Linked DNA regions of Macaca mulatta. The protein of the gene in region 1 interacts with the protein of each later gene in a pairwise test. Links are inferred from orthologs where the notes say so. Each region holds a gene or a part of one and is shown in the gene's direction. Other genes may lie near its edges.

Region 1 (5,332 bases):
TTTCCCTCCGTTAAGCACTTGAGCTCTTTCCCCACTTCTCCTCGGTTCTCTTGTCTAAGGAGTCCAGGAGCCCTAGGATCAACACGGCTTCTTAACCTTTAAAATCTGATAAAATCTGTCCAGGAAAATGTTCTTATCTGTACACAAAATATTGTGCATTCATCTGAAGTCGCTTCATGGGCCTGTCCCAGCTACAAATCCCTGTTCTACGCCCACCCTAAGTGTGCCTGCTCTGGCCACAGCCTGTGGAGTTAGTGCATCCCTTAGGCTTCTTTAGACCAGCCACACGCTTGGAAGACTGGGCCACATCTCGGAGCAGCGCATGAGGAATTCCAGGTCCTGACCTTCACAGTACAGTTGACCATCATCTTTCTTGAACAACACAGCCAGTCCACCTTCAGGGATGCAGACAACCTCATCTGGGATCTAAGCATCCGGGAGAGTGGGGATGGGGAAATGGAGGAAGAACACCCTTGGGGTTCATTCTGGGCCCGTTTGCCAGGCTTTTCTCCCCATGCCTATCTTCCAGTGCCACTTAGCAGAATCATACCTTCACATCAGTTTTTATGTTTTTCTTTTTCTTTTCTTTTCTTTTTTTAAAAATAAAGATGGCGTGCCTGTAATCCCAGCACTTTGGGAGGCGAGGCGGGCGGATAACCTGAGATCCGCAGTTCAAGACCAGCCTGGCCAACATGGTGAAACCCGGTCTCTACTAAAAATTTAAAAATTAGCCGGACGCTGGTAGCTCACGCCTGTAATCCCAGCTACTTGGGAGGCTGAGGCACGAGAATCGCTTGAACTCGGGAGGCGGAGGTTGCAGTGAGCCGAGATTGTGCCACTGCATTCCAGCCTGGCGACAGAGTGAAGATTCTGTCTCAAAAAAAAAGAGAGAGAGAGAGAGAGAGGGACGGGATCTTGCTATGTTACCCAGGCTAGTCTTGAACTCCTGGGCTCAAGCAATCCTCCTGCCTCGGTCTCCCACAGTGTTGAGATTACAGGTGTGAGCCATTGTTCCAAAAATTGATATGCCCGGCCTCACATCAATTTTTGGAACAATGCAGGTAATAACGAGCGGAAAAAAAAGTTTTAAAAGTCCCAATTACCCTTCAAACAAATATTACCTCCTCCAAAAAATATTTTTCTAGATTCCTGATTGTCTTTTTAGGTGGAGGAGGAACTCAAAGTAGAATTCATTTACATATTCATTCATTCATTCCACAGCACTAATCACTCCATGCGGTAACTCTGTGTCCCCATCTCTCTCAGATTTAGTACCTGGAAAACAGCCATTCTGTCTTAATTCAATTGGTATCCCCAGGGCGCATTTCTTTGCCTTGAAAATTGAGTACCCAACAAATGTGCGTCGAGCAAAACTACATGAGATGGCGAACAGGGGTTTAAGGGTATGGGGGAGAGTCAGCAATGACTGGTGTTCTCCCTCCCTCCCCGAGCTCTGCTCCTAAAGATCCAGGACGCCTAGCGAGGGTAGGAACCTCTTCGGTGCTTCCGCAACGCTCTGAACAGCACGGCACTGAGCGCATCTAATTAAAGTGATGGTTTCATTAGATAGCAACTCAGCGAGACCCTGTTTCTACAAAAAATAAAAAATTAGCTGGGCGTGGTTGCTCGAGCCTCTAGTCCCAGCTACTTGGGAGACTGAGGCAGAAGGATCGCTTGAGCCTAAGAGTTCGAGGTTGCTGTGAGCTATGATCGCGCCACTGGGCTCCAGCCTGGGCGACAGAGCAAGATCCTCTCTCTCTAAAAAAAAAAAAAAACAAAAATAAAATAATGGTTTAATTGCCGGCCTTTGCCCCTTCTGCCCCCCACCCCCCACAAGTCTGTAGGACCGGGTTGACTTCCCAGAGCTTAGTACAGATTAGATGCTAAATAAATGTGTGTTGGACGGATGGGCGAATGAATGGATGGATGGAGGATGTGGTTGTGCTTACCATGCTTCCCGGTCAGCGGGTTAATGTCGTCAGGAGGGGCCAGGCTCGCTAACAGCCGGGCGGGGTCCCTTCCCCCGGGCCCCGCCCCGGCCGACCCCACCTTTCCGCGCGGCTCCGCCCCGCCGCCCCCTTCCCAGTGGCCCCTCCCCGCGCAGGTCCCGACTCCAGCCGCACCTCCTCTGGCTCTGCAGTGGCGGCGGGGAGGCGAGCCGGAGCGACTGCGGGGCCGGGACCGGAGCAGAGCCGGGGTCGGGCAGCAGCAGGGACCCCCGGAGGCGGGGCCTGTGGGACCGCTATGGGCGTGGAGATCGAGACCATCTCCCCCGGAGACGGTACCGGGCTCCCTCCGGAGCCGGGGGAGGGGAGGGGTCCCCGGGCGGAGCCCGGAGGGCGGGGGTCTGATTCGGAGGTGGCGCGGAGGGTGCTGAAGGGTCGGGGGGCTGGATGCGGAGGGCAGGCGGAGACCCCGGACGGGATTCTTGGGGGTCTAGGAGACCATCCTCCACCATCCTCTTCCGCGACTCACCTAGGGGAATGTAGGTGGCAGCCTGGAGGCGGGGGTCTGCGGCCCGGAGCCGGGGGTCTGCGGCCCACCACCCCGGGCTGCTCCTGTCGCCGCTGCTACCGTTCGGTTATCCGCTGCTGCTGATACCCCAGGCTGGGTTTCGGCTTAGCTTTCCCTGCCCTGCTCGGCGAGCTCTGGAAAGCAGGACCTGCTCTCGGGTCTCCGCTGCTCCGGGACCTCCTCCTAGCGCGTCCCCCGCCGGGCCTCCTGTCGGTCGCTTCCCTGTGGGCCGGGCTGTGAGCGGCTGTGGGGACAGACCCAGGCTGGGAAAGGGGGAAGCGCTCCCTTGCCGGCTTCCGGATCTCGCTTTATCCTCCCGCCGCGTTCAGACTCCCTGGCCACCCTGTCCACTCCCATGGCCTCCACATTGAAGCTTCTAAGCCCAGCCCTGCGACCTGCGGCCGGACCTCTCCCTGGAGGTCCCAAGGTGCTCCCTAGTCAGCAAATCCAAAACAGAACTTGCGCTTCCCACCTTCTCCCCTAAGTGATCCTCCTCATCCCCCTTCCTTATCTCACTTTCCCAAGCCCTTGTATTACTGGGTCTGGGTGTGCAAGGAATAGCCATTTCTTTATTTCTTGAAATTTAATTCATACCAAAGCTCCCATTGTCTGCAGGGTTTGATGGGCAAACTTCATATCAGATATTATTAATATGAACAGCTCCCCTGCCCAGGAAATTGGAGAACTTCTTGGCTCCAGGCCATGCTCCTTGTCCAATCCCAACCACTACTTTGGATATCCCCTGGGGTACAGGATTCTTTGCCCACGCAGGAAACCTTGATGCTGGGTCCCAGAAAGCGTCTCCCTGAGGCCTTTTCATCCCCCAGCAGCCACTGAGCTAATCTCCCCATCTTCAGCCTCTCCTCCCTGCCTTCAATCTCATCCCCAATCTCATATTCACTCCCTTTCTACATCATAGCCTGAAGACTCTTCTTAAAATGTGGTGGCTCATGCCTGTAATCCCACCACTTTGGGAGGCCGAGGCGGGTGGATCACAAGGTCAGGAGTTCAAGACCAGCCTGACCAACATGGTGAAACCTGTCTCTACTAAAAATACAAAAATTAGCTAGGCGTGGTGGTGCATGCCTGTAATCCCAGCTACTGGGGAGGCTGAGGCAGGAGAATGGCTTGAACCCAGGAGGCAGAGGTTGCAGTGAGCCGATTGTGCCACTGCACTCCAGCCTGGGTGACAGAGCGAGACTCGTCTCAAAAATAAGAAGAAGAAGAAGAAAACAAATGCATATTTGACCATGCCCCTCCCTCAGGTAGAAGATGTTTTAAATGATTCTTCCCTCTCCCCCAGGCAGAGGGGCCTTTGGTGCTGTGGTCTATTCTCATCTTCCACACTAGAGCTTCATCTCTCACCACCTGTCCTGAGCCCACCACCAACTTTTTCTCCAGCTTTCCCAAGCTGCCTGCAAGTTGTCGAACACACCACTCATTCAGCAAATATTTATTGAACGTGTGTGCTAGGCCCTAAGGTGACAGCGTTGAAACAGACAGGGTCCCCGCTATTGCTGGACTGAAGGCCTTTGAACATGTTACATGTCATTCCCTCTTCCCAGATGGTGTTTTTTTACTTCCTCTGGCAAATTCTTACTTGTCTTTCAAGACCTGGCTTCGCCATTCTCTCCTCTATGATATTTTCCTTGACTTCTGCAGTCAGTTAGCTGCTCCCTCCTCCAGGCTCCCATAAAGTCCTCTAAATGTTGGCTCTGTGGTTAGCCTTCCTTAGGCTTTGTTATCTAGCCCCATAGCTTTAAATTCCAGCCAAATTTATATCTCCAGTGCAGACTCTTCATCTGCCTACTTGCAATATAAACTCAGATGTCTAATAGGCATCTCAAGATTGCCACCCGCACAAATCTGTTCCTCCTGTCTTCCCTATCTCAGGAAATAGTTCCACTATTCATCCAGTTGCCCAAACAGAAAACCCAAGCATCGTTCTTGTTGTCTCCTTTGTCCTCATCCTGGACCCCATTTCCAATTTGATTGCATGCCCTGTCAGCTCTGCTTCCAAAATATGTCTCCAGTCTATTTCACTCTCTTCTCTGCTGCCACCACCTTAAATCAAGCTATCATTGATTTCTTGTCTGGATTATTGCAACAGACGCCTTACTGTCCATCCTACACATAGCAGTCAGAGTGATGTTATAAAATCTTAATTCGGATTATGTCATTCTCTGGCTTAAAACCCTCCAGTGGTTTCCTATTGCACTTAGTATGAAATCCGGCTCTGCAAGCCCTGTATGATCCATCTCCTTCCCACCTCTGTCCTCCCTCCCTTCTTTCCACTTAACCTCCTTGCTCGCTGCAAATGGATTGATTCTGTGCACTTGTTACTCCTTCCCCAAGTGCTAATTCCCAGTATTTTGCTCATCCTTCAAGTCCTAGCTCCAGGGGCACCTTCTTCAAGAGGCCATCCTGGACCACTCTGTCTGAAATGGTCTGTCCCACTGCATCTCCCTTTAATACATCATTGTGTGTGTTTTCTTTAGAGTATTCATCATAATCCATAATCGTTTTGCATATTTAAGTATTGTCTCTGTCCATTAGAATATAAAGTCCATGGCAGGTGTGGTGGCTCATGCCTATAATCTCAACACTTTGGGAGGTTGAGATGGTAGGAGCTCTTGAGCCCAGGAGTTCAAGGCCAGCCTGGACAACATGTCAAGACCCTGTCTCTACAAAATTTTTTTTTTTTAATTAGCTGGGCATGGCAGCATGCACTTGCAGTCCCAGCTACTCAGAAAGCAGAGGCAGAAAGATTGCTTGAGCCCATGAGGTCAAGGCTGCACTGAGCCAAGATCATGCTATT
Region 2 (4,717 bases), about 37 Mb from region 1:
AACTTTTATTCTGTATATGGTTTTCCTCAAATTCTCCCCTGCAAAAAGAAATAAAATATTACTAAGGTAGCAACTCGTTTTTTTGAAAATCCTTTTTATTTAGGTGCGCCAAATACTGCAGAATTAAGGATTTGTCGTGTAAACAAGAATTGTGGAAGTGTCAGAGGAGGAGATGAAATATTTCTACTTTGCGACAAAGTTCAGAAAGGTATTTATTTATTTCATTGAATTTAGAATAAATTTTAGATTAATAGATGCAGTTACTTTGTTTTCCCATTATTATTTTTTTGGTTTCTTATTCACTAGATGACATAGAAGTTCGTTTTGTGTTGAACGATTGGGAAGCAAAAGGCATCTTTTCACAAGCTGATGTACACCGTCAAGTAGCCATTGTTTTCAAAACTCCGCCATATTGCAAAGCTATCACAGAACCCGTAACAGTAAAAATGCAGTTGCGGAGACCTTCTGACCAGGAAGTTAGTGAATCTATGGATTTTAGATATCTGCCAGATGAAAAAGGTATGACATTTTGCTGGTGATAATTTATATATTTCTTAAAGTGGTCCTGCTAATAACATCTTGTAAGATTCATTTGAGTACAGTTATGTATATTCACAATTTATGTTTCTTTTCCTGGAAGCTTTCTGTTGGGTTTTTTCTTTATGCTCTTTGCATTTCTTTGTTTTTTTGGTTTTGTTTTGTTTTTTTGTTTTTCGTTTTTCTTTGAGACAGAGTCTCACTGTCACCCAGGCTAGAGTGCAGTGGCACAATCTTAGCTCACTGCAACCCCCACCTCCCGGGTTCAAGCGATTCTCCTGCCTCAGCCTCCCGAGTAGCTGGGACTATACAGGCACGTGCCACCACGCCAGGCTACTTTTGTAGTTTTAGTAGAGCCAGGGTTTCACCATGTTGGCTAGACTTGTCTCTGCATCTCTTTCTTCAGAAAGAGGTTTGATTAGGATGGAATAATTTCAAAGTATCTAAACTGCTTACTAAAATTTCTGTTTTATTTTTGAAGGTCTATTTTAGTCCTTGTGCACTTACCACTCAGAGAATAGTCTCTATATTGGTTTCTTATCAAACCTTATTGCACTAGTTGACATTACTGACTTGTGTGATAAGAAAACAAGATGAATATTTTGAACAGTTTGTTTTGGGTTTTTTTGAGACAGGGTCTCACTCTGTCACTCAAGCTGGAGTACAGTGGCATGATCATGGTTTACCAGAACTTCAACCTCCTGTGCTCAGGTGATCATCCCACCTCAGCCTCCTGAGTACCTGGGACTACAGGTGCACACCACCACACCTGGCTAATTTTGGTGGGATTTTTTTGTTTTTTTGTTTTGAGATGGAGTCTCACTCTGTCTTGCCCAGGCTGGAGTACAGTGACGTAATCCCGGCTCACTGCAGCCTCTGCCTCTTGGGTTCAAGCAGTTCTCCTGTCTCAGCCTCCTGATTAGCTGGGACTACTGGCATGTGCCACCACACCCAACTAATTTTGTATTATTTTTAGTAGAGATGGGGTTTCACCATGTTGGCCAAGCTGGTCTCAAGCTCCTGAACTCAGGTGATCCACCTGCCTCAGCCTCCCAAAGTGCTGGGATTGCAGGCATGAGCCACTGCACCCCGCCAGTTTTTCTGTTTTTTATGGAGACAGGGTTTTGCCATGTTGCTCAGGTTGGCCTCAAACTCCTGGGCTCAAGTGATCCACCTGCCTCAGCCTCCCAAAGTGCTGGGATTACTTTAAACAATTTTTTACTAAGAGAAAAATATCCTTTTCTACTGATACTACTGATTTGGGACGTATTCTATAATACTTATTTAATCTGAATTACATATGTATTTATTGAAAACATTTTCTATATGTGAATAAAATATTTGTTTATTAAAGGAGAGGAAACAATCCTATAATTTTTTGTCTGCTTTCCTGGTTTCTTTCTAATCAGATACTTATGGCAATAAAGCAAAGAAACAAAAGACAACTCTGCTTTTCCAGAAACTGTGCCAGGATCACGGTAAGAATATTTTGGATCGATTCATATTTAAATAGGTTTTGTTTTATTTACTGTATTCAGTTTTTCAAATTTTATTATTTTTGTTTTGTTTTGTTTTTGTTTGTTTTTTGAGACAGCGTCTCTGTCTGTCACCCAGGCTGGAGTGCGGTGGGGCAGTCTCAACTCACTGCAACCTCTCCCCTTGCAGGTTCAACAATTCTGCCTCAGCCTTCCGGGTAACTGAGATTACAGGTGTGTGCCACCACACCCGGCTAATTTTTGTATTTTTAGTAGAAACGGGGTTTTGCCTTGTTGACCAGGATGGTCTTGAACTCCTGACCTCAGGTGATCCACCCACCTCGGCCTCCCAAAGTGCAGGTGGGAGCCACCACTCCCTGCCAGTTTTTCAGATTTTAACTGATAATGTTATTTTTCAGATGCCATTTAATAATGGAAAAACTTTATCCTAACAGTTAATTTTCCTGAGAGACCAAGACCTGGTCTCCTCGGTTCAATTGGAGAAGGAAGATACTTCAAAAAAGGTATTTTATTTCCTATAGCATATTTCTTGTGATCAGAAAGACCAGTGCTGTGCACAATATATTGGAATTCTGTTTTTAGGAATGAATAACTGCTTCTTTGAAAATTTTCTCTCCAAATTTTTCATGCTTTCAGTATAGAATAAATTAAGCATGACTTCTGAAGGTTGTGTTAGAAACCAATCGTGTTTTTGGAATTTATTGTTCAAGAAATTACATGTCATTCATATGGTAGTGATTTTATTAGTTACATTGCGTCATGGAAAAAAATGTTATTGATTTGGTTAGTTACCTATTTTTATAAATAAAATTTTACTGGAACATGGCTATGAATATTTGATTAAATATTATCTCTAAACTGCTTTTTTTTTTATAACACTATGGTAACAGGGTTGAATAGTTCGAACAGAGGCTGTATATAGCTCACAAAGCCTAAAATATTTACAATCTGACTTTTTACAGAAAAAAAAAATTACCAATTCCTAGTTTAGATAATTCAACCAAGGGCTAATTAGAAGTCTTTTTCCCCCATGTACATTCTTAAATCAGTGCTTTTTCCTGGTTTAGTTCATAAAGCATTTGTATAATATGTAAATAAATACAGAATTAATTTTTTCTGTAATTTTTTCTGACTGTGAATTTTATAGTCTCTTAGGGTTCTGTCGTAATATATCTTAAAAGTTGTATGTATTTTCTTATCCCTAATGAGTGTTTTCTCCATCCTTCCATTTTCTCCTAAGAGATGATTTTGGCTATTTGGAGTCCCATTAATTGTAATTCTAATATTTATCTTTTAGTTTTCAAAAATACCTTTATAGAGCCTCAGAAACTAGATTTTCATATTTAACTGGAGTGACATTACATATGCCAAAGTAACTTGCAAAAATCATTTTACCTGTATTTGTAAAATGGTATGTATGTTACAGAATTTCATTTTGGATTCGTGTAATAATTTTAGTGCTTTTAACACTTTTTTATTTGAAATGTTACATTGGTTTCCCTGACATTTTTCTTTATATATATTTGTGTGCTTATGCAATTTTAATTTAGAAATACTTTTTATAATTTTGTTCCTTTTAATTTTGTAAAACAAATTTTTCCTCCCACAGAACCAAACTTGTTTTCTCATGATGCAGTTGTGAGAGAAATGCCTACAGGGGTTTCAAGTCAAGCAGAATCCTACTATCCCTCACCTGGGCCCATCTCAAGTGGATTGTCACATCATGCCTCAATGACACCTCTTCCTTCTTCAAGCTGGTCATCAGTGGCCCACCCCACCCCACGCTCAGGCAATACAAACCCACTGAGTAGTTTTTCAACAGGGACACTTCCTTCTAATTCGCAAGGTATCCCACCATTCCTGAGAATACCTATTGGGAATGATTTAAATGCTTCTAACGCTTGCATTTATAACAATGCCGATGACATAGTTGGAATGGAAGCGTCATCCATGCCACCAGCAGACTTATATGGTATTTCTGATCACAACATGCTGTCTAATTGTTCTGTGAATATGATGGCAACCAGCAATGATAGCATGGAAGAGACGGATAATCCAAGACTTCTGAGCATGAATCTTGAAAACCCCTCATGTAATTCAGTGTTAGACCCAAGAGACTTGAGACAGCTCCATCAGATGTCCTCTTCCAGTATGTCGGCAGGTGCCAATTCCAATACTACTGTTTTTGTTTCACAATCAGATGCATTTGAGGGATCTGACTTCAGTTGTGCAGATAACAGCATGATAAATGAGTCGGGCCCATCAAACAGTACTAATCCAAACAGTCATAGTTTTGTTCAAGATAGTCAGTATTCAGGTATTGGCAGTATGCAAAATGAGCAATTGAGTGACTCTTTTCCATATGAATTTTTTCAAGTATAACTTGCAAGATTTAAATCCTTTTAAATCTTGATACCACCTGTATAGATGCAGCGTTTTGTATTTGTCTAACTGGGAATATAATACTGTATTTATACTGTATATATAATACTGACTGAGAAGAATAATACTGTATTTGAGAATATAAAAAACTTTTTTCAGGGAAGAAGCATACAACTTTGGACATAGTGAATACAAAATTGGAAGCTGTCATAAAAGGACAACTCAGAGGCCAGGTGCAGGACCTCACGCCTGTAATCCTAGCACTCTGGGAGGCCGAGGCGGGTGGATCACTTGAGACCAGG
Region 3 (4,717 bases), on another chromosome or scaffold:
CCCTTTTTTGTGATTAATTGATTTTTTTCTAGCATAACATTTTGATTCCTTTCTCTTTTCTTTTTCTTTATATTGCTTAGTAGTTTTTTCTTTAGTATTTACCTGAGGGTTATAATTAGTCAACTTTATAATGATCAAGGGTGAATTAATGCCAACTTAGTTTTAATAGTACAAGGCAAAAATTTTTACTATAAAAACTGCTCCTTTTCAGCTCTGTTCTCTCCTTTTTGTTGTTATTATCACAAATTATCTCTTTACACATTGCATATCCATTAACACACATAACTATTGTTTTGTGCGTTTGTCTTTTAAATTGAATAGGGGAAAAAGAGGAGTTAGAAACCAAAAACTGCATTATTGGACTTTACCTATGTAGCTACTTTTTCACTGGTCTCTACTTATTTATATGACTTTGAGGTACTTCCTAGTTTCCTTTCCCGAGTAGTTGGGACCACAGGTATGAGTCACTGCGCCAGCTTCTGTATTTATGTTTCTGAAATGTGTGTGGTTTTTTTTTTTTTTTTTTTTTTTTTTTTTGAGACAGAGTCTTGCTCTGTTGCCCAGGCTGGAGCGCAGTGGCACAATCTCGGCTCACTGAAAGCTCTGCCTCTGGGTTCATGCCATTCTCCTGCCTCGCCTCCTGAGTAGCTGGGACTACAGGCGCCCGCCACCATGCCTGGCTAATTTTTTATATTTTTAGTAGAGACTGGGTTTCACTTGTGTTAGCCAGGATGATCTCGATCTCCTGACCCCATGATCCGCCCACCTTGGCCTCCCAAAGTGCTAGGATTACAGGCGTGAGCCACCGCGCCCGGCCTGAAATGTGTTTTTTAAAAAGGAGTGAAGAGGACCCTGGATGGTTGATAATATAATACTACTGACTGAGAAATCTGATTGATTTTCCAATTCTTCATACATAATTTCTAGAAAACAAAAATAGAATAAAGGTAATAACTAGTAGAGCAGAAGCTGAAAATAAAACTTTCAACAGATACATGGGGAAAGTGGGTAAAGAGAGAGATGTACAACAAAGTACATTTCTTTGACTTAGTACTGTTTTTTCCTCTACTTTGATTCTTCATTAAAGTTTAAATAGCATCATATGCCATAATGTCAGAAAACACTCAATTTACTGGTTCACTTTCAAAGGACAGATTATGTGCTTTTACTTTAGTTGTACCAATTTTCAGCTCCTTTAGGAATGGAGCCCATCATCCTGGAGTGTTAAAATGGGCAAAAAGAAAGATAAACTCATTCTAGCTGTTCTTTTCTAAAGGTATCCTCCAACTCCTCCAACATCGATCCAGGCAACTATGTTGAAATTAACGATTCAATCGCCCACCTACCTTCTAAAGTGGTGATACAAGATATTACTATGGAGCTACACTGCCCACTGTGCAACGATTGGTTCCATGACCCACTGATGCTAAGCTGTGGCCACAACTTCTGTCAAGCCTGTATCCAAGACTTTTGGAGGCTGCAAGCAAAGGAAACATTCTGTCCTGACTGCAAGATGCTATGTCAGTATAGCAACTGTACATTCAACCTTGTACTGGACAAGTTGGTAGAGAAGATTAAGAAGTTACCCCTACTCAAGGGCCATCCACAGTGCCCAGAGCATGGAGAGAACCTGAAACTGTTCAGTAAACCAGATGGGAAACTGATCTGCTTTCAATGCAAGGATGCTCGGTTGTCTGTGGGGCAGTCTAAGGAGTTCCTGCAAATCTCTGATGCTGTCCATTTCTTCACGGTGGGTGAGCCCTGGGCCTTGAACAATCCCTTAGAAAAACTAGGAAAAATATTTTATAGGGCTTCTTCTTTCTTTGAACCCCATCCCTTTATTCAAATGATGATTAGAAAACCCAGACTGCTCAGAAAGTACAACGTATCTTGCAAAGTTCTTTTTCTAGAGTTGCTGCTTATAGGAAAGGAACAGTGGAGGAGCCCTGGCTTACTCCCTCAATTAAATCTGTACCTAAACTCTGCCATGGTAGCACTCTGCTAAACACTGTGTAGAACACGGATATATACGATATTGCTCTTATTATAAAAAAATTCAAAAATTGGTTAAGTTTAAAATGAAGAAAACAACAGAAACAATGTAAGATAGTCTACTATTAAAAGTTAAATTTTGTCACATTTGTAATTCTTAAGGGTTTAGAATTTCTGAAATGACTAGAGAAAGACGAAATTGTCAGGGGACATATAGTGAAAGAAAGGGAAAGGACTTGAACTGGGAAATCATTTGGATTTGGAAGGGCATAAGGAAGAAACAAGTGTTCCAAGTGAGAACAACACAAGTAAAATTATAGATTCTGAGAATAGCATATAACTAGAGTGGAAAATGTGTAAAGTTCTATTCCTTTCTTCGAACCCCTGTAGCTAGCTATTAAGAGAGAAAAACTAAGTTTTAAGCTGTAATTCTTTTTTTTTTTTTTTGAGATGGGGGTCTCACCATGTTGCCCAGGCTGGTCTCAAACTCCTAGACCCAAGTGATCCTCCCATCTCAGTCTCCCAAAGTGCTGAGATTACAGATGTGAGCTGCCACACCTGGCCTCTTTTTTTTTTTTTTTCTTTTCTTTTCCACAATTCTTGAACGAGACAAAAACTATGATACAAGGGAAGGGGAAGATTTTTGCAGCAAGAGCTTGCTTTTTTCTTGCACACTGGGGCCTTGGGGAAGATGTCGTTTATGGTCCTTCATCTCCTGAGTCAGTGTGGGTTAATTCTATTTGGTATTCCCAGGAGGAGCTTGCCATCCAACAGGGTCAACTGGAGACAACTCTGAAGGAGCTTCAGTCCCTGAGGAACATGCAGAAGGAAGCTATTGCTGCTCACAAGGTGAGGAGCAAGAAAGAGGGGTTATGAGATAGAACTGGAACACACCCTCCATGTAACTTCAGCTATGGGTACAAAGGTGCCTAACACATATTATCAACACACTAAATGGTACCTAGGCTATAGAATTGGAAAACTGAGACTGTAGGGTAGAAAGGAATATGGTGGTGGAGTAGGTTCCTAATAGCTGACCAACAGAGCAGATAAACCTTTCCCCTAATATGCTGATCTTTTTGATGGTTCAGTCACCAGGTGACTGTTGTGGGATTGAAATGTGTCTGGTCTTTGGCTTTATCTATGGCAAAAAAAAAAAAAGGAATTCATCAAAAAAAAAAAATCAATCACTAAAGATTGCTATGTCCAAAGAAATACCTTTATTTCCTTTGAGTTTATAACCAGACACCTCTGGACTAGGTCTCCAAGGTTGTAAGCTTTTTCCATCTGATTTGATCTTTCTTAGCTTCCTCCAAACTAAATAAAGCTATTGTCTTCACTTTCAACTTCATAGACACTCTAGGACAACATTAATGGCTAGAGATCTGGCAAAGCAGCCCCTAGGCTGGGGGTGCTGAATTGGACGTTCTGTTTCTTTATTCATTATTCTATGGAGAAGAGCCTTCTCAGGTATTTGGCATCTGGAAGAAAAAATATGTAGACTCAGGGAAAGAAGATGGATATACGGAAGTAATGGTGTCTCCAGAAAATCTTGTTCCTGTTGTAAAAGTTCCTATTGGTGTGAGCGTTCATTCATTCATTTAACAACTATTTATTGAGTGGGTCATAATACTAGATATTGGGGATGGGAGACAGCTGTTAATTAAACAGTCCCAACAGTAATAATAAAATAACAACTGTGATAAGTACTATAAATGAAAGTATAGGGTATGATGATAGCATATAAATGGAGAACATAATCTAGACTGGGGGGAGTTGTGTTCTCTGAAGAAGTCACTTATTAAAAATTGAGAATTGAAGGATAAGTAACTCACCCAAGTGAACTGGGTGAGTGGGAATATGAAGGAGATGGCCTGGAGAAGAATGTTCTAGGAATAGAAAACAGCATATGGAAAAGTCCTGAGACAGAAAGTTAGCTCCTATGTTAAACAGAGAAAAGGCCAATAAACCTGTAACATGCTAAGCAAGATGATATTGAAGAGGTGGATATGGGCTTACTGTAACCTCAAACTCTTGGGCTCAAGAAATCTTCCCACCTCAGCCTCCTGAGTATCTGGGACGAGTTTGCCACACCTGGCTAATTATTTTATTTTTGGAGAGACTGGGTCTCACTATGTTGCCCAGTCTTGAACTCCTGTTCTAAGCAATCCTCCCAGCTTGGCCTCCATAAGTGTTGTAATTACAGGTATGAGCCACTGTGCCCAGCCAAGACTATCTTAAGGGTGCAATAATAATTATGGACCATGGAATCCAAGCTAGATAAGAGAGGACATGAAGGTAGAAATTCCTGAATAGAAATGGAGGGATCGGTGAATAGGAGGTTTCAATGAGATCCAATAATTGTTGCAATAGGAGTGTCTGAGTGGGCCTGGTGCATAAAAAGTTATTTTGGAGATGATGCAATTGCTGGGGGTGATGAAATCCTAGGTGAGACTATAGGAATGAATCAATAAATGTGGAAATCACTAGACATGAGGAGAATGAGGAACTGAGAAGCCAGGATGTCAAATAGTTTACCTGTGAGGATGTTGAGTTCACTCAAGGAAAAAGATGCAAGTGTAACAGTGGCATTCCCCAAGTTCTGATTTCTGGATAAGGACAGTTCTTCCAGCCTCCCAATACCCCCAGTCTAACAGTACCACTTGGAAGCTTTTGGTTTACCAATCTAGGAGGGTATTATCATTCATTCTAGAATGTTTGATTA
Region 4 (4,717 bases), on another chromosome or scaffold:
GGCAAAGGATATGAATAGACACTTCTCAAAAGAAGACATTCATACAGCCAACAGACACATGAAAAAATGCTCATCATCACTGGCCATCAGAGAAATGCAAATCAAAACCACAATGAGGTACCATCTCACACCAGTTAGAATGGCCGATCATTAAAAAGTCAGGAAACAACAGGTGCTGGAGAGGATGTGGAGAAATAGGAACATTTTTACACTGTTGGTGGGACTGTAAACTAGTTCAACCATTGTGGAAGACGGTGTGGTGAATCCTCAAGGATCTAGACTAGAAATACCATTTGACCCAGCCATCCCATTACTGAGTATATACCCAACAGATTATAAATCATGCTGCTGTAAAGACACATGCACACGTATGTTTATTGCAGCACTATTCACAATAGCAAAGACTTGGAACCAACCCAGATGTCCATCAGTGACATATTGAATTAAGAAAATGTGGCACATATACACCATGGAATACTATGCAGCCATAGAAAAGGATGAGTTCGTGTCCTTTGTAGAGACATGGATGCAGCTGGAAACCATCATTCTCAGCAAACTATCGCAAGGACAGAAAACCAAACACCGCACGTTCTCACTCATAGGTGGGAATTGAACAATGAGATCACTTGGACATAGTAAGGGGAACATCACACACTGGGGCCGGTTGTGGGGTGGGGGAGGGGTGAAGGATAGCATTAGGAGATATACCTAATGTAAATGAGTAGTTAATGGGTGCAGCACACCAACATGGCACATGTATACGTATGTAACCTGCACATTGTGCACATGTACCCTAGAACATAAAGCATAATTTAAAAAAAGAAATATTTTATTGGTTTTTGCTCTATTGCTCATTGCTATTACATCTAAATAAAAGATTATATATATAATTTATGCATTATAAATATATCTCATGCATAAATACATGCTTCATACATTAAACATGTATTTTTCCCCCATGCTTAGATCCAGTTTATTCCAGAAAAAAAAAAGCCAAAATTTTCTTCAAAGATCAAAAGCAACTATCAGTAGATGGAAAACTTTAAAATTTTTTCCTCCAATTTTTTTTTTTCTTGAGCTATGTATGAAGAAATCTATAGCTCAGACTGTGTCTGGTGTTAGTACGTATCAAGCTCTTTAGCCAGAAGGAAGAGCAAGGCCAATGAACCACATCCCTGGTACTTAGTTTCTTCTCACTTTCCCTGTATGAGAGAGTGCATGCACTGCTCAGCAAGGAGACTGCAGGGCAGGGATCTCTAGAATCCCCGGAGGACCAGGGGCTGCAGAGCAGTTACTTTGTCTTACAGAATGAAGTCTGAGATGAGAGAAGGGATTTATCTAGGGCCCACAGCTAGTAAATTATAATGTCAAGATCAAATCCTGGTTTTCTCACCCTTACAGGTAATATTTAATGTCATTGTTCCCTTTATTACACTACTTTTTTCACCCTAGGGTGACAGCTCTCTCAAAGTTCAGTCCTGGAACAGTATGTGTGATAATTCCATACTAACAGGATCATATAGTAATGGTACTAAAGCTTTTAATTTTTTTTTCTTCCCAGGATTCATACCTGTGTGTAGCCTTGGAGTGGCTCAAGTGGGCAGGATGAACTTTGGAAAGGATGTCAGCACCTTGAAATACTTCACCATCTGTGGCTTACAAGAGGGCTATGAACCATTTGCCGTTAATACAAACAGGGATATTACTATGTGGCTGAGCAAGAGGCTTCCTCAGTTTCTCCAAGTTCCATCAAACCATGAACATATAGAGGTTTGCTTTTTCTTTCAAAATCAGGTCATTTCTAAAAAGCAGGAAAAGAATATCTTTATACATAGGAACTTCTGCTTAGACAATTATTGTGACTTACTTAAAATGATGACCTTACACAGAAGTGGAATCTAAGCAAAGATGGCACTTTATACCAGCTGTCAGTGGATGGGAAACTTAAATTTTTGCTTTCAATTCTTTTTTTTCCCTTGAGCTATGTGTGAAGAAGTCTGTAGCTCAGACTGTGTGTGGGGTTTGTACGCATCAAGGTCTTTAGTTAGAAGAAAGATCAAGGCAAAGGGAGCCACATCCATTCTAATAAGCTACGTTACAAGAAGCTTATTAGAATGAGGAAAAATACTTTCCTTTTTATGTGTGGGCAATGTCAGGCCGAATCTGAATATATAGAATTATAAGATAAATTTCCGAAACCGTCTTTAGAGACAGAAGCAGAACTCTATGACTATATCCATAGCACAGTAATCTGTTTAATTATCTCTTACAAAATGATGCCATGCGTGGACTGATTTGGGATTCTGAAAACGTGATGTGCCTTAGGCATCTTTAGAATCAGGAAATCGACAACGGTGATTGGAATATGACCTATTGCTTCTTCATTTGCTAGGTGACCAGAATAGACGGCACCATAGACAGTTCCCCATGTTTAAAGGTCACTCAGAAGTCTTTTGGTTCTCAGAACAGCCACACTGATATCATGTTCTATCGCCTGAGCATGCCGATCGAGTGCGCGGAGGTCTTCTCCAAGACTGTGGCTGGAGGGCTCCCTGGGGCTGGCCTTTTTGGGCCCAAGAATGATTTGGAAGATTATGATGCTGATTCTGACTTTGAGGTTCTGATGAAGACAGCTCATGGCCATCTAGTGCCCGATCGTGTTGACAAAGACAAAGAAGCTACCAAGCCAGAGTTTAATAACCACAAAGATTATGCCCAGGAAAAGCCCTCTCGTCTGAAACAAAGGTTACTATTTTATACACTGTGATTTTAAGTTTGTAGTTAAGTGAGGAGGGTTACAGTCCAGAGTAAAGGGTCTCCTAGTGTAAGGTTTTTCCTCCCCCTCCTCCTCCTCCCCCTCCCCCTCCTCTTTGTGCAAAGGATTCTATAAGGAAAAATTAAGCAACCTGTTAGTCATCTAATTTGTTAGCGTAGATGCTATCTATCTCAATAGTTATTTTTTAAGATGTCTATGTTTACATTCTTGCCTGAAACTTGCAGAGTATTTTCTCCAAATAGTATTTTTTTATGATAAAGGCGGCAAGTTATTTTAACATCCTTTCTTATACTAAATCAGATTTTCTCAGTCTCAGCACTATCGACAGTTTAGGCCAGACAATTCTTTGTTGAGGAAACACCTTGGGCACTGAAGGATGCTGAGCAGCATCCTGACCTCCACCCACTAGATGCCAGTAGCACTCCATCCCCCACACTGTGAGAACCGAAAACATATATCTCCAGATATTCCCAGATGTCCCCCAGGGAGCAAAATCGCCCAGGTTTAAGGCAACTCAATTGATTCTATGCTCATATTTGAAGTAGACAGAACATTTTAATGTTGCTTATTGTTAGTCCTCTAAAATATTTCAGATTTTTGCTTAGAAGAACAAAGCCAGATTACAGCACGAGCCATTCTGCAAGACTCACCGAAGATGTCCTTGCTGATGATCGGGATGATTATGATTTCTTGATGCAAACGTCCACGGTATGAGGTTGCAGCTTTTGTCATTTATTTCTATTTGTCACTCATTATGCTTTACATCTCAAATAACACATACTGATTCATCATACTTAGTAATATTATTTTTTAAATGTCTGTTTCTATTTTGGGATATATTTTGGGGACTGAAAGTTTGAAAAAAGTTTATGTATTATGATAGATATTATGCAATAAAAGAGCTATTTTAGGAAAAATATTTTTAATGGCATGCATAATCTTAATTTTGCTATTCTGTTTCTTGACAAAATTTTAAGTTGCCCTTGAATTTTTCAACTACTTTCTTCATCTTACTGAATTGTCTAAAGGAAGATCAATTATCATAATTTGTGAGAGGTCAAGCTTTTGCACTCTTCCATTTTAAATTCTCAAGGCTGCTTCTCCTAAAATGCTACATTGAAAAAATATTTAGTTGTGTTCATTGTAGAGTGCTCCCATATTTTAGTTTGATGTTCACATGTTCTGAACTATTTCAAAATGAGTTTAGGCTGGGCACAGTGGCTCAAGCCTGTAATCCCAGTACTTTGGGAGGCTGAGGTGGATGGATCACCTGAGGTCAGGCGTTCGAGACCAGCCTGGCCAGCATGGTGAAACCCTGTCTCTATTAAAAATATAAAAATTAGGGGAGTGTGGTGGTGGGCACCTGTAATCCCAGCTACTAGGGAGGCTGAGGCAGGAGAATTGCTTGATCCCAGGAGATGGAGGTTGCAGTGAGCCGACACGGTGTCGCTGCACTGCAGCCTGGGCGACAGAGTGAGACTCCGTCTCAAAAAAAAAACCAGTGAATTTAAAGTGTCAAAATGTTATATGTCAGAGAAAGGAAAGGCCAAGAATGTGCAAAAAGGTGGGTGACAAGTATAAAAACCCAAACATTGGCCAGGTGCACTGACTCATGCCTGTAATCCCAGCACTTTGGGAGGCCAAGGCAGGTGGATCACCTGAGGTGAGGAGTTCGAGAACAGCCTGGCTAACATGGTGAAACCCTGACTTTACTTAAAATATAAAGATTAACTGGGTGTGGTTGTGCACACCTGTAGTCCCGGCTACTTGGGAGACTGAGGCAGGAGACTCTCTTGCACCCGGGAGGCAGAGGCTTCCGTGAGCTGAGATCACACCACTACACCCCAGCCTGGGTGACGGAGTGAGAGTCTATCTCAAAAAAAAAAAAAAAAAAAGTGAGCATAGATTTGTATACATGTATAAGCTTGAAGAATTTGAAGC

The links. The genes of interacting proteins can lie anywhere in the genome.
Region 2: the proteins of FKBP1B (region 1) and REL interact in binary tests that used the Homo sapiens proteins (3 or more experiments, as listed by UniProt). The two-hybrid records come from large-scale screens. The link is inferred for Macaca mulatta from reciprocal best matches to the Homo sapiens genes FKBP1B and REL.
Region 3: the proteins of FKBP1B (region 1) and TRIM69 interact in binary tests that used the Homo sapiens proteins (3 or more experiments, as listed by UniProt). The two-hybrid records come from large-scale screens. The link is inferred for Macaca mulatta from reciprocal best matches to the Homo sapiens genes FKBP1B and TRIM69.
Region 4: the proteins of FKBP1B (region 1) and RYR2 interact in binary tests that used the Homo sapiens proteins (3 or more experiments, as listed by UniProt). The link is inferred for Macaca mulatta from reciprocal best matches to the Homo sapiens genes FKBP1B and RYR2.

The regions. Positions count from the first base shown.
Region 1 is NC_133418.1:100,990,266-100,995,597, reverse strand, and holds the start of FKBP1B (peptidyl-prolyl cis-trans isomerase FKBP1B), read left to right. Parts: upstream 1-2,106; 5' UTR 2,107-2,244; coding exon 2,245-2,281; intron 2,282-5,332. UniProt on the Homo sapiens protein: Has the potential to contribute to the immunosuppressive and toxic effects of FK506 and rapamycin. PPIases accelerate the folding of proteins. It catalyzes the cis-trans isomerization of proline imidic peptide bonds in oligopeptides.
Region 2 is NC_133418.1:63,861,562-63,866,278, reverse strand, and holds part of REL (proto-oncogene c-Rel), read left to right. Parts: intron 1-103; coding exon 104-208; intron 209-306; coding exon 307-519; intron 520-1,946; coding exon 1,947-2,015; intron 2,016-2,467; coding exon 2,468-2,536; intron 2,537-3,642; coding exon 3,643-4,415; 3' UTR 4,416-4,717. UniProt on the Homo sapiens protein: Proto-oncogene that may play a role in differentiation and lymphopoiesis.
Region 3 is NC_133412.1:22,160,499-22,165,215, forward strand, and holds part of TRIM69 (E3 ubiquitin-protein ligase TRIM69), read left to right. Parts: intron 1-1,276; coding exon 1,277-1,750; intron 1,751-2,745; coding exon 2,746-2,841; intron 2,842-4,717.
Region 4 is NC_133406.1:11,499,588-11,504,304, reverse strand, and holds part of RYR2 (ryanodine receptor 2), read left to right. Parts: intron 1-1,561; coding exon 1,562-1,770; intron 1,771-2,392; coding exon 2,393-2,745; intron 2,746-3,369; coding exon 3,370-3,484; intron 3,485-4,717. UniProt on the Homo sapiens protein: Cytosolic calcium-activated calcium channel that mediates the release of Ca(2+) from the sarcoplasmic reticulum into the cytosol and thereby plays a key role in triggering cardiac muscle contraction. Aberrant channel activation can lead to cardiac arrhythmia.